Lepisosteus oculatus: one gene and its partner. The protein of the gene in region 1 interacts with the protein of each later gene in a biochemical or structural test. Links are inferred from orthologs where the notes say so. Each region holds a gene or a part of one and is shown in the gene's direction. Other genes may lie near its edges.

Region 1 (7,715 bases):
TCTGTTAGACTTTATGACTTTATGATTTCTAGTAGATAATTAATCACAAAATTTCACCCAGTATAAACTCCTGCTTGCAGGATTTCAAAATATTCACTTTAACAAACTGACTGACCAATCAGTGTCTCCCATATTAAATCCTCCCCATTTCTCCCCTTAATTTCCACTTGTTACTCTATATGTTTTTTTATCTTTGGGCTGTTCTTATCATTTCCATTCCTGACTTTTTATCAGTTTTGCTTCAGACTGGAGAGTTTCAGTTCCTTTTTCCTATTTGTACGTGATGTTCCTCTACAATCCAAAAATATTCTGGTCACTTTAATTTAATCACTTTCAAAGGCAACAAAACCTTTTTGTTGTGTGGTCCACAACTCAGAATGCAATATATACTACGCTAGATATATTGAAAACGGGAGTCCGTTTGACCAGTCTAACTCATTTGGCTGCCAGTAGCTATTTGATCATATTGTTCAGTCGTTTCTTGAAAAAGCCGGGTTATCATCTTCAGTGGCATTGTTGGTTAGCTTTTTTAAGACTCCCATAATGCTGTATGTAAAAAGTGACACCCTTCTTGGGGTTACAGTAAATGCATATCACTGTATTATTTTTGTAGTTTCCACTTCTATCCTTTGATTCATGTTTCACTTTTGATTCTGCAGAAGTCTAGTGGGTTGATTTCATCAGAGCCTTTGAAGTTCTCTGACCGGGACTAAAAAGGTTTAGTTCTTTCAGCCTTTCTCTACAATCTATACTTTCATCATTGTTCCTGAAACACTTTACCTCACCCTTCTTTTACTACTGTAACACAGAATAAACCTTTATTATTGATTTACCATCCATTGCATAACCTGTGCTTGTAGTTCATTATAGTCATTTTTTTCAGAGGGATCTGGTTATATCTATGATTTTATCAATTATTTTTCATCTGTATATGTGTCTGAATTTATTAAACTGTTTGGGCCACTAGTAGTACTAATAATAACTAGAATCGCATGTATTCTATCTAGATCTGCCCAGCCCTAAATGCTGTCTAATCCCTCCTGTATGTTCTTTCCCAGAGAACTGAAGTATTAAAGAAAACACATTCAGCATTCACAATTTCAAAAATGGAAAGACTCTATCCCACACAGGGGGATACCATGATAACCCAGTTATGAGTGGTATAAAATACCAGGTGTACTTCAAGATGGACTATTCCAAGAACTGTTGCTAACTGCTTCTGATATTACAGAAAAACCATCAGGCCACCTCTGAAACACTACACTACTGATTGTAACATCAGTGATGGGACATGTTTGGGACATCTACATATAACTACGAAGGCACTAGACAGGTGGGTCAGTGTCACACATCTCTATTATCCCCTTCTGACAAAAGCCCGAACCGGAACACTGCCTAGTAAATAAGGCATCCAGTCCTCCAACAGTCGTTAGGCGAGCGTGACACCTGCACACTGAACAGTTCTGTGACTTGCATCTACACCTGCAAGTGATGATTGCATGTGTTTGCAACGGGACCAAAGTACAGAACTGAAGACCTGGGAGACTGTCTTCCATACTGTTTTAGGAATGCTTTACTCCCTATACATTAAGGCATTTTGTTTTATACTTTACATGTCAAGTATATACAACTTTGTTATTTGCCTCCAGAGCTCTGAGTCTCACTTCTTCCAGACCGCAGAGCAGACAACGTCTTAAAGCCCTTTATCTCCTAGCTGGTTTAAGTGACCTTTTAATTAGCCGAGAGGTGTGGTTAATCCCAAACAGAGCCTATACTGGCAGCTCCTTTCCCTCACGTGGAATTTCACTCCCACTGAGTTCCAATTACTCAGGCAGAATAGCTGTGCCTCGTTCTCCAGGTTTTTCCAATTAACATGTGGCTCTCGCACAAAGCCACCTCTCACTAGCTCACACAGCGGTATTATGGAAGACGTGGAGGATACGGAAGACTTGGTAGAATAAAAGTTATTTGCCGCAGAATTCAATACAAGTGGGACAGATGGGACAAAGGGCTGGCCAATGTGATATGTAATAATAATCCATCCATTTCGGTAACAACTTAGTCCCACACAGGGTCATGACAAGTGAGAACCTAACTTGGCAGGCAGTGGGCACACAGTTTGATACAGGAGCCAATTAAGAGATGGCAGAAAAATACGGCTTTGGACAGGCGGAGGAAACCAGAGAACTCCCAAATAAATCCACCTGAACAGGAAGAGAACATGCAGATTCCACACGCAAAGTCCCACCTGGGACCCAGGAACTGTGAGGCAGACGTGCTAAAGGTCACAACACTGTGCCATCTGTGTGACAGAAGAAATCTACAGCAGGGATTGTTGCCACTTTACCAGACTCCTTAATCGCACAGCCCTTTCTCACTACTGTTACCTGCATCTTAATCCCCAGAATCTATACAGTGAATTGAGGAGCAGTTCAGAGCAGGGGTGAGGGGTGGTGGTCTTAGATTCCCATGGTAGACATTGTTGGGGAGACCCTCAAAAAGAGTCCTGTAAAAACAGGCTGGCGCTCTAGGCGAACTCTGAGCGAAGAGAGCAAGTTGTTGTTGTTTTTACACAAGCCGCTGTCGTGAAATAAGAGTATTTCTGAAACAAATACCTACAGTACAATTGCATGCTTACCTTGAAAAGGCTGAAAATCACGCAAGAGGTAGAGAAGAAATAGATCACGGGACTCCAGGACTGCAGTACTTAAAACGGTAATGAATCATTTGAAAATACGGATTTGTTTCGTTATTTCCGCGTTGATGTCTGGGGCAGCGAGTTCACAAATACAGTGTTTCCACCTGTGCATAAAGGCATTTGTGTTCTGTATTATTTCCAAAAGAGGGCGCTCTCAAATGAATTAATCCCAGATTGGTTTTCTTCAAATTATCAAGAGTATCATTAATAAATAATATTTGAAAACCTCTTTTTACTTAGAACGGTCGGTGTTTTCTAACGACAAATTAGAACGAGAAGCTTATGGAATATGTATGAAGATATGTGTACTGGGGTTCAAGGCTCAATACGGTTCCATCGAAATTAAAAAAATATCTCTATTCTTGATTTAAAAGGAATTGTATAGTTTACTATAGAAATTATTTTTGTTGACGAATCTCAAATCCTGAATTCTTCGAATCTTTACATGCATAATCATTATCAAAGAACTCAAAGAACTCGTTTATTATCAATAAACATAGTGAAATGCTGCTAGATATCGTGTTGATTCTATATGAAATTACAAATACATTCAAAGACCATCAGTATAGTAATATCCACGCTCAGCGATTTTCTACGGCACTCCAAGAACTGCGTCCATGCAGAATTCTCCCGTTTGGTGTGTGTAATAAGTAAATATATTAGCAATGAAATAGCACGATTAATTTCACTTGAAAGAATGTTAGTGTTTTCTGAAGCCTGCTTTATCAGCCATCGCTGAAGAGATCTGTTAAATCTCTGATGGTCAAACACATTAAATAAACTTTACTTTGTTTAATATATCAAACAGCCTGCGGGTTCTCCAGAATCAATAAAATGATGACTCGTGATCTGCGACGCGGCTGCGTGCGAGATGAGTCTAAATTCAAATGCTGCTCCTGTAACTGAGAAAATAAAACTGGATTTCTCTGTGAAAATGTAGCTGAAATATAATTTTGATATAAATAACTTCCAATATTGCTCAAATTTAAAATTGGTCCACCGGGGAATTGTCTCCGCTTGTTTTTGGTGACAGGTCACTCATAAATCCTATTTCATGTTTCCTTTTGTTTTCTTCAGAGAAAATAAAACAAGGTCCACGTTGTGCTTTGTGTAATTCGTTTTGCGTTTTTAGTTTACTTAGTTGCGAAATGTCATGGGCATACAAACCTTGGAAATAGTGTTTTTCAAAAACAGATTTTCGGTTTTCTCTAGGCCAAAACTAGCCAAGCTAAAAAAATGATACCGAACAGGCAAATGATGAATTGGTTGTACAGTTAAAGGTCTGAATTCGGTCTAAAATAGTGATTAAACGAATTAGAGCAAAAAATATTATCCGATGACGATGACCTTAGAAGGACAAAAGGGCTGAAATGAGTAGATGAATGTTAACACACTTCTACGACTAATATTAGGATTTATTAACTGTAGTTTAATACTTATAAAATCACTTGTAAATCGTCTATTGGGAAAGCTGAAACTGGAAGAAATGAGATATCCGTACACGTTTTATTGAGATTACAATGCGTTTGATAAAAAGCATTGTTTAAAAATGTTTTATTAGCCAGTATTGTAAGCGGTAACAAATTCAAGTCAAATAAAACAAAAAAAAAGGAAAAGTTACTCGTGTTTGACCTCATGTTATGGAATACAATTCGATTCTTTACAGCAGAAGTGAACATCTAGTCTTGTTTCTGACGATTCTAACAGGGAATATAGACCACACTCCTGGCAATAAACAAAAAAAGGTCAAAAAGAAGGCAATTCTCTGCATTCCTAATTCCGTCTGCTGAAAAAAAGTGCATGATAAAAAGCCTTCTTACAACAACAGTTTAAACTCAACTCTTTTCTCCTGGAAAACAATCAGATTAGGTTATAATGAATCTTTTCAAATGGGGTTTGTTCTTTTTAGTTAGCGCAGGTGTACAATAGGCGGCCAAGCCGGGGAGTCTCACGCCTAGGTGTGAGCTGATTATTCAAATAGGGCAACGCAGAAGTAGGGATTGGAGATTTCGCCTGGCGCACAGAGCTATATCACAGCGTTTACAGCCAGACACCAACGTCATTTCAGCTCCTGTCATCATCAGACGCTATTCAGCGCCTCTGGGCACCACTGTCTGAAATCTACACATGCTCGAGTCCCCGAGTAGAAAGCAGACCAGCGATCTGGGTTACCGTTGGTCCGAAGTCTTGTTCTAGAGAACTTTTTTTAAAAAAAAAAACCTTCTCCAGAGAAGCTGTTGACCGGGTGGATTCGCTGCTTCCACAATGCTGGGTGCAGTTAAAATGGAAGGACACGAGCATTCAGACTGGAGCACCTATTACGGCGAGCCCGAGGTTGGTAGCTTATATATATTTTTTTTTTCCTCCTAAAGCCGATCCCATTTTATACAACTCAATATTAGCCCTGAGATAATATTAACTTTGTGATCAAATATTGACTTGAGGCGTCTCCAAATCCTCCCCGATCTCCGAGCTGCGCTATCCTAACAAAGTTGGGCTTGGCATGCAAGAAGAAACTTTTTTTCTGGAATTCTGACTTCATCTGCTTACATACAAGTCATGGATAATTTGTTTTTTAAGGATTGCTTTCTTTCATTCTGTAGTGGAAAATACACATGTAATTGCTATATAGTGCTGTCGAGTTGCATTCACTACTTAATGAATATGCATTCAATGTTTCTTTTTCGGTTTCTGTTACACTTTCTGTATTGTTTTCTGTACAATTTGATATTTTCACGTCCTGTGATCGTTCTAAGGAGAACTCGTGAAAAGAATCTTTGAGGAAATCAGTTTCGCTCATGGGACTTCTTTATACATTTTAGATTAGCCGCTGAAAGCACATTTGTTTGATTATCCTGAAAATATTAAATACGTTTCATGTAAGATTCGAGTTGGGTTTTTTTTTCTGCTCGAACGAAGACAACGCTTGGATGAGGAACAACATTTATAGAAGTCGTTTTGTCGAATCAATGATAGGTCGCGGGTCACCATTTTTTTTTGTTTTGTTTTTTTTAAAGTTTTGTTTTCATTAACAAACAAAAACTTAACTGTGGTGCCAAGTTTGTTTTAAGCGCCTTTGACACAACCGCCAGTGATTCGAAAACTTAACTTTTGTGTGTCTTTTTTTTTTCCTGCTCCCACAGTGTTACACATCCGTTGGCAACATGAACACCGGACTGGGGATGAACACCATGAACACGTACATGAGCATGTCGGGCATGAGCACGGCGGCCACCATGACACCGAGCTCCATGAACATGTCGTACGTGAACACGGGCATGAGCCCCTCTATGACGGGCATGCCAGCCGGGGCCGGCTCCATGAACGGCATGGGCCCCGGGATGGCGGGCATGAGCGCGGCTCTCAGCCCCAGCATGAGCCCGATGACCGCGCAGCCGCCGTCCATGAACGCCTTGACGTCCTACCCCAACATGAACGCAATGAGCCCCATGTACGGACAGTCCAACATCAACAGATCGAGGGACCCGAAAACGTACCGGAGGAGCTACACGCACGCCAAACCGCCCTATTCGTACATCTCCCTCATTACCATGGCCATCCAGCAGTCGCCTAACAAGATGCTCACGCTTAGCGAGATCTACCAGTGGATCATGGACCTCTTCCCCTTTTACCGTCAAAACCAGCAGCGCTGGCAGAACTCAATCCGCCACTCCTTGTCCTTCAACGACTGTTTCCTGAAAGTGCCTCGGTCGCCCGACAAACCGGGAAAGGGCTCCTTCTGGACCCTGCACCCGGACTCCGGGAACATGTTCGAGAACGGCTGCTACCTGAGGAGACAGAAGCGCTTCAAGTGCGATAAAAAACTCTCCAAGGAGTCCGGCAGGAAGACCTCCGAAGGCGGATCTAACAGCAGCTCGGAAAGCTGCAACGGCAACGAGTCTCCCAATTCCAACGCGTCCTCCTCCACCGAGCCCAAAAGGTCGCTGTCGGACATGAAGTCCAGCCAGGCTCTGAGCCCCGAACACGCTGCGTCCCCGACATCTCAGGCGCAGCATCTGCTGTCGCAACACCACTCCGTCCTAGCGCATGAAGCGCACCTGAAGCCGGAGCATCACTATTCCTTCAACCACCCTTTCTCCATTAACAATTTAATGTCGTCGGAGCAGCAGCATCACAAAATGGACCTAAAGACTTATGAGCAGGTAATGCATTACTCTGGGTATGGGTCTCCCATGACAGGAGCCTTATCCATGGGCTCGATGACCAGCAAGGGGGGCTTGGAGACCTCGCCAATATCCACTGACACGTCTTACTATCAAGGTGTGTATTCTAGACCGATCATGAACTCTTCCTAAGTTTTCTGCAACACAATGGACCTTTTCCAGCAATTTGTACATTTTGTAAAATAATAGTTTGTGCACACGCATTCCAAAATATTTTTTTGATGTTTCCCAATGATTACTAGATGTCAAGTTTGTTTAGTATTTTTTTTGTAAAAGGGGTGTTAATATATGACAAGATTTGTTTGTTTGTTTTCAAACTCCCACCGCAGCTTTTGAAACGGAACAAAAAACAAAACAACAATGTTACAAATTATGGCACGGTAAATACTGAATTTAAAATGCAATTTGGGAGAGTGAAGTGCTTCAGACGAATAATTTATCGTTTGTGTATTTCTTATTTATGGCTTGTAAATGTGTATTCTTGTAGTTGACAACAAGGGCAGAATATATTAAAGTGTTACTTGGACGTTTTGGGAACATGATCGTCTGGTCTTATTTTCTGTAAAATTATGTTTCATGTAATTACGAACATATTATATAGAAAATATTTCAGCATTGAAACGCATCAGTATGGCTTGATAAAGTCAACATGAAACAACACAAGGTATTTTTATCTACGATGGTAAAAATCATTTCATGGTTTAAAACAGTATAGTTTTCGCTATTTCAATACCAAACGGTGTTACGTTGTGGTTCGCTTCATTTAAGAGTTAGGACATTTATTAATTAAAACCAAGTATTTTACCTTTACGAAAACACCCTAAATCACTGTA
Region 2 (7,467 bases), on another chromosome or scaffold:
TGCAAAAATACATGTAGAAAAATAATTATACATATTAACACAGTTCGAAAAGCATATAAAATCTTGATTGCAGACCTAATCGAATTTTAACAAAACTACTGGTCAGATAAAAAAAGATTTTCCTCAATACGATACAAAAGTAGACAGCCATGTTGAGGATAAAAAGGTCTATCAAGTTTATTTGTTACTAAAAGCATAATACAAGTAATGCATACTCTCGTATTGCTGTTCTTCTTAAGATTTTCCTTATTTTGTATGACCTTATTGCTTTAATTAGTTTTTAATCTTTATTTAATTACCTTCGCACCCGTGGTGCACGGTTATAACATTCGTACTCACTGGTATCACTGTGTACGTGTTTTCACTTTGATCGAATGATATCTAATCAATTCTAAATCAATTCAAATCAAAGGCTTTCCGTAATTTTTGAATACAATAATTGTTAATAATTTGTGACCTAGACAAAAAATTATCATATTTAACTGTCAATAAACTCCAAAGAGCAGTCAAAATATACCGCTTCGAGACATGGCCTGCTTTTGCGTCTTGATCATCTGGAGTTTCGGCTTCGGGTTCCTTGGTGTTGATTATCTTCGGAGTTCGGTGAATAATTAAACAAATCTGTTGAAAAAAAATAATTCAAGTGATAAAGACGGCAGGTGGAGAAGAAACCGACACACTTGAATGTGATTATATTCAGTCAAAACACTGTATTTGTTTTGGAAACCGGACAGCACTTTGGTTTTGTTCAAATTAACAGATAATATAACGCCTCAGGTTAGAAAACGTTATTTTAGCACCGCTTGTCAATTCAGCACAAAATTGAGTATTTTTAGATATTTGCAGCGTATGTATACACGAGGTAATGATCGCTGTGGACACAATACGTAATGCAATTATGCAGTAAACCATCAACCGCCAAATATCACAAGATCCTGTGTTAGAGTTACAGCAATCCAGAGCGCTCCGAGCCTTCTAACAGTACGTGCTTATTTAAGCTTCTTTACGCCTGTGAGGAAATTAGAGGCCTGCGACTTTCCAGCTGTCACCCAGAGTCATCTCTTAAATACATAACACAGGGTACATTAAGCATTTTCAATGATGACTAGCAAGCAATGTATTTACGTGTATAACGGCAACAATAATCATTATCTACATAATTATTATAGTCCGTCAATGATGCTAATACCAATAACATGCTCAAGCCTTACAATCAGAGCTGACAAATGTTCTATGTAAGATTTAGAATTCTACTGCAAAAATAATTGGTAATTGTACAGAAAATTATTCTCATCTAAGCTTACTAACAGCAGATTTCACAATCGTTCGTGTATAAATTCGTATTTCATATATGAAAATACATACCTCTAAATTTCGCACATCTAAAATACTCCGATGTTTTTTTTTGGACACGTTCATTTAAACTTGTGTGCATCTTCCGAACAGTCACGTGTACATATGTGTCGTTTGGTTCAAAATACGAGCTTTGAAAAACAGTATTTTTATTTACAGAAGAAAGCAGTAAGTTACACACAAAGTGTAGGTGAGGCTGTTTTCGTTTTCGACATCATTGCACTCTGTTCTTTCTCGGTTACAAAAACAGTCCGGTGGAATGTCTTATTGAACTCTAATTGGCCGGCTCCCGGTTCTGGACTGATGAGGCTGTTTGTAAGTTTACTGGTTGTACGGCGAGTACCCTGGGGAGTGATGGCTCTGTGGAGCGGTTTCTATTGGCCAGCGGACAATCAGCTGGTTATATTCGCTGCTGTCGCTTTTGGCGCTTAGCCACCTAGAAACAAACCTTGGGCGACCACTAATAGTTATAGCCAGATGTACAAACACACAACAAATCACAATAGTTCGGTTTGTGGCGCAAATGAGTTCGTTTTTTGTGAACCCAGCTTTCCCTGCCTCCCTTCCCGCTGGGCAGGATTCTTTCCTCGGACAAATCCCGCTGTACACATCTGGCTATGATGCACTCAGGCACTTCCCAGCTCCTCATGGACCCTCTGCGATTCCAGACAAGACTTTTCCACCCCCTTGTTTCTATCAGCAACACAACACTGTGTTTAACACCAGAGCGCCTTATGAGTATGGGCCGTCCTGTTATCACTCAGACAAGGATCCAGTGAGCGTTTACCCCGCGGGCAGCGACAAGCAGGGGGCAGGCGACAGTTGCCTGCAGTTCTGTGGTGACCAGCACTGTAAACCGGACTGTACACAAAGCAAAATCTTCGGCAATGAGCCCCCCGACCGGAAGTACCCTGCATCGGCTCACCCGTGGATGCAAAGGATGAACTCTTGCAATGGTGAGTACAGAGCTCAACTCGCCATCATTCCTGCAACTTTGCAAAGTTATGCGAGAAGCTGAAATAATTTCTACTGTTGCACCTCTGAGTTTCTGTAGACGAAACGTGAAACTCTTTTGATAAAATTTTGCTCTGTCAACTTTGTAGCGTGAATCTCAGGGCTATGCTTCTTCACAAAACTTAAAAGAGTTTAGATTTCTAAAAATAGAAAGTGTTGTGTCCAAGATTAACTACACCGTTTGCAAACGTACAGCTGAATGTAGTTTGAGTGGCAGTTTCTGACATGCTCATGTACTACGGTGATAACTGTCCTTTCCAGGATTGCCACTAAATGTATATTTAATCTAAAATGAGGTGTGGACTGCATTGGATGTAAAAAATAGTCTGGTCAATTCTTTCCTTCTCTCCAGCTTCAATATATGGATCGCACGGGAGACGTGGGCGCCAGACCTACTCCAGATACCAAACTCTAGAGCTGGAAAAGGAATTTCATTTTAACAGATATCTAACTAGACGCCGTCGTATTGAAATCGCTAACGCTCTCTGTCTAACAGAACGACAGATTAAAATATGGTTTCAAAATCGACGCATGAAGTGGAAAAAAGAGAACAAAATTCTGAGCTCAGCAGAGGAGAACAGCGAGGAAGTCAAAGAGAAAACAGGGGAGTGCTCTGTGTAGCCCGCTTGTGCTTGTAGGCCTTTCCTGCGATGTGGAAATTCAGAACAATATTCTACTAGTTAATTTGCGTATATATTTATTTATTGCTGTGATACAAAAAATGAAAAATATTTTATGTAATCCAATTAGAGCGTCACATATCTTAATTTAAAAGTAACCGTAAGCAATATTTAAATGTTACTGAAATAAGAAATTCAGATCTATAGATTAGGAACATGTCCAATAATTGTTGTTAGATTCATTTTTTTATTTGATGTAGTTTTAGAAAAATAATAATTCCGATACTTTTCCGTTAAGAATACGGACGTTGTTCCGAAAATGTCTTCTTTATTGCTCTAGTGATTTATTTAAAAAAATAGCTATGAAATTTGTTTTTCCAGAAACCAAGTGTGAAGGTGTTTCGCCGTCTGAAGGCAAGGAATGTGGCGAATTTACATAACCGCAGATACAACGCGTACACTGTGCGAAATGTTATTATTATGAACGGATTCGAGTGTCGGTACTGTGATTTAATATAAATCATATATTTTAAAAATACACCGTAATTATGTTTCAGCATGAATGGGCGCAAAATTATAACTGTTCCCGTTTTTGACCAAATTAAATATACCGGACCCTACACTATTCAATGATTTCAAATCCAACCAGGGGACGTTTTAATAAAAAAATATACTTAACATTATTTTTTCTTCATCTTAATGCATTATAAAGAATATACGTAATGTTTATCACATAGCACTTAGCTTATATTCCGGAATATTCCTCGCCTTCAGATAGCGATTTAGCTTTAGGCAAAACACTGCCTACATTCACCCAGCGAGTATAACATTCATTCCTGTTATAACCCTAAACGCGGTAAGAAAGGAACTATGAGATAAAACAAAAGCGCGCACAAGGAATATCCGTGTTGTGGGTTAAAAAAATCGCAGGCTTTATGTTGTTACGCATTTACAGTAATTAAAGAAAGATATGATATCCTCAAAAGGAACAGAACAAAATAACCGAAGCCTTAAGGATCAAATAACTCTCCAGCGGAATTACATTGCTTACTACAGTTAATTTAATTACAATTCCATCCGCGGCTGCGGTTCAATCCAAACAGTGTGAAGAAGTAATCGCCGGGAAATATCAAATTGTCAAAGGAGCGAATATTATATTTGTTTTTGCGGCGAAAAGGCGCAATAAAAAGTCATAGCGTTCAGGCTGCATTAATCATATCATGAATAAAACGCGAGTAATACTGCAGCAATGCCTGTTAACCTTTATTCGACCCCTGCCCGCACTCCCCTGATCGAAACGGGCAGTTCGGCCGAGTCTCCAGAGGGTGGCGCAAGACGACAACTGAAGCAGCCGCCGGAGCGCGGCGCCCTTCCCCGTGCGCGCTCCCAGGCGCCGGCATCCACCCAGCTCTCCTGTTTGTGCACGAGTTTACCTCTGGAGGTCATCAGGCAGGATTTACGACTGGACAACAAAAGCACGTGACTCAAAGTCGTACCCCATATTTGGGTGCCTACGTAGGAGGGAATCAAGTACATGTCCCAGTCATTTCCATAATTCATCATAAATTGTGCAGGGGTGCTATAGACGCACAAAACGACCAAGACCACAAATCAAGCACACACATATCTTTTTTTTTCTAAAAAAATAGAACAATATCAACAAATGAGCTCTTATTTTGTAAACTCATTCTGCGGTCGCTATCCTAATAGCCCGGACTACCAGTTACATAATTATGGAGATCATAGCTCTGTGAACGAGCAATACAGAGATTCTGCGACCATGCATTCCAGCAGGTACGGCTACGGTTACAATGGGATGGATCTTAGTGTCGGGCGCTCGACCTCCGGTCACTTTGGTTCTAGTGAAAGGGCTCCCAGCTACACATCTAGTGCAACAGCCGCATCCGCAGAGCCCAGGTACAATCAGCCTGCCTCCGCGACTCACTCGCCACCTCCTGACCCTCTACCCTGCTCCTCCGTTGCCAGCTCGCCTCTCGGCGAAACTCACCGCGCTGTTAAAAACTCCATAGCCAGCCCTAATACCTCCTCCTCTAGTTCGAGCAGCAGCAGCGCTCTCTTAACCAGGGACGGTGCAGGCAAGCCGCCTGCTCCCCAGGATGACAACTCGGCGGGCAGCGTCCAGACAAATTCACAGAACGGCCAAAACGCGAGCGAAACATCACAGCCCCAGATATATCCCTGGATGAGAAAGCTGCACATAAGCCACGGTAAAACTGCTTCTCTTTTCTTTTATTCATTTCAGTGTGTTGTTACTGTTATTCCGACTTGTTTTTCCTTGGACACTGAAATGCAGCATGGTGGGATTAAATGATACCGCATGTTTTAACCGAGTGTGCGTGGTTGCCCGAGACGGACCACAGCATGAAGTTGAGGATGGTGTGGTGTTTCATGCACATTCTGTGTCCATTCAGGAAAATGCAAACAAAATGTTTGCAGAATGCTGACTATCGGGGCGGATTCACAACGGCATCCCCCAAAGCACGGCTCACAATCTGCTCGAATTTTAACCTTGAAGAGAGGTCTTCGTGCGTTTGTTCTTGCAAATGACGGTTGGGATTCAGAAGTTTTAATATATTTGACAGACGCCTCTCTGTCGCATATTGGCAATGAACGTTCATTTCAAAAATAGAAAATTCAGATGCTGGCTAAAATAATATACATCAGTGATTTTTCTTCACTACTTTTCTGACCAATGATGACCAGTGGAGCCTAGGTAGTACCAGGCAACCAGTGACTATATTCTTATTGTAATTGAACGCCATTGTTGTTGTGCTTAGTGAATTCGAGGGATTTAGGATATGTCTGATTAAGAGTAAACAGTGTAAGTGATTTTTCCCACTTCCAATTATTATTATTATTATTATTATTATTATTATTATTATTATTATTATTGTTCTTGTTGTTATTATTATTATTCTAGTGATGTAAGTGATGTGGTTCTGTGTCACAGACAACCTCGCAGGACCCGAAGGGAAGAGAGCTCGAACAGCCTACACACGCTACCAGACGCTGGAGCTAGAGAAAGAATTCCACTTCAATAGGTATCTGACCCGGAGGAGGAGGATTGAGATAGCTCATGCTCTGTGCCTCTCGGAGAGACAGATTAAGATCTGGTTCCAGAACAGGAGAATGAAATGGAAAAAAGATAATAAACTGAAAAGCATGAGCATGGCAGCAGCCGGAGCCGCGTACCGTCCTTAATTTCTAAGCACTTGAAGAAGTACTGGCAATAAACCGACGGACTGTTCCAGTCAGAGCGACAGACTTTCCAGAACTCCTGAGCGCTGGGTCAAACACATCCTTCAGCTCCAGCCTTTTAATCCTTAATCCGTTCAACTGGTCTTGCTTGTATGATTACAGCTGCTTTCTGTAAAACTTTGTCTTTTATCGGCTTAGTGTTGACAAAAAAATGGGGTAAACGTTTTAACTTATTTACTGTACTAAGGAGCAAAATAAGCTTGTGTTACTTAAAGTAACAGTAAAATCCGTTTAGTACAATTGTTATGTGTTGCACTCTAATTAAAAAAAATAACGAAAATAATAATATGTGTTGCTAATATGTGTTATGTATTTGTATGCTGAATGTCTAAATAGCTCCAAGCTGTCAAGGAAATACTGGTTTCTTAAAATCGACGTTTTCTTTGTAACCAATGCTATCGTTAATTTAAAATACTGAAATACTACCTACCTTGTATATCTGTAACTGTAGTGCGTTGTGAACACGTGAGGGAACAATGATTCCACAACTTTATGTCCTTGCTGTGCCTTTGTATGACTCTTTGCACGAACTTCAGTAAGTTGCTCTTGAAAGCGCAGCGACAGTGATGTGTGTTTTTGTGAAAAGGTATTCAGCATAGTCATGGCTTGGCTGTCTGAACAGATCGTGATCGCTTTTGTATTTGTTTTTAAGAATGACTGGAAGTAACAATAAAAATAATAAACTTTCTACAGTTTTTCATGTATTGTGTGTTGCATTTCGGCACTTTGTGCTCAAAACAAATTTGGGAAAATGCGGCCTTCACGAGTGTACTAGACTGCCCTACTTGATGCAGCTACTTGCGCGGAAACGTTTAAAATTAATCCAGCTTTAGTTTTATCATACAGCCGTTATCCTTGACGCAGTGAAAACGAAACCAAACGAATAGCGTGAACCCATTTAGCAAAATGAAAGATAAAACATAAAAATTGATTCATTGCCGCAGATTTGTTCTAGATTTATGTTTAAAATTGTTGACTTATCAGACTCTAACGCGACTTTTCTGTTTGTCGTCTCTAACGTACTTAAGTTTCTTCTCACTAGAAATTCAACAGGTCGAAAAACAGATTTAACTGTACTCACCCATAATTACGCGCCTGAGACTAAATGCTCCTTACCACTACACAGAAGGATGGTCTGTGCTTCTCTATCCTAAATGGCAACATTCTGAATCCTTCTTTAAGTTTAAAGCCGTAAACTTTA

The links. The genes of interacting proteins can lie anywhere in the genome.
Region 2: the proteins of foxa2 (region 1) and hoxa5a form a complex in vitro, tested with the Homo sapiens proteins (2 studies listed by BioGRID). The link is inferred for Lepisosteus oculatus from reciprocal best matches to the Homo sapiens genes FOXA2 and HOXA5.

Annotation. Positions count from the first base shown.
Region 1 is NC_090697.1:10,720,388-10,728,102, reverse strand, and holds foxa2 (forkhead box protein A2), read left to right. Parts: upstream 1-4,706; 5' UTR 4,707-4,963; coding exon 4,964-5,032; intron 5,033-5,841; coding exon 5,842-7,014; 3' UTR 7,015-7,424; downstream 7,425-7,715. UniProt on the Homo sapiens protein: Transcription factor that is involved in embryonic development, establishment of tissue-specific gene expression and regulation of gene expression in differentiated tissues.
Region 2 is NC_090705.1:562,674-570,140, forward strand, and holds hoxa5a (homeobox protein Hox-A5a), read left to right. Parts: upstream 1-4,642; 5' UTR 4,643-4,650; coding exon 4,651-5,215; intron 5,216-5,958; coding exon 5,959-6,209; 3' UTR 6,210-6,961; downstream 6,962-7,467. Other genes in the region: homeobox protein Hox-A6, read left to right, coding at 1,877-2,309, 2,720-2,988. UniProt on the Homo sapiens protein: Sequence-specific transcription factor which is part of a developmental regulatory system that provides cells with specific positional identities on the anterior-posterior axis. Also binds to its own promoter.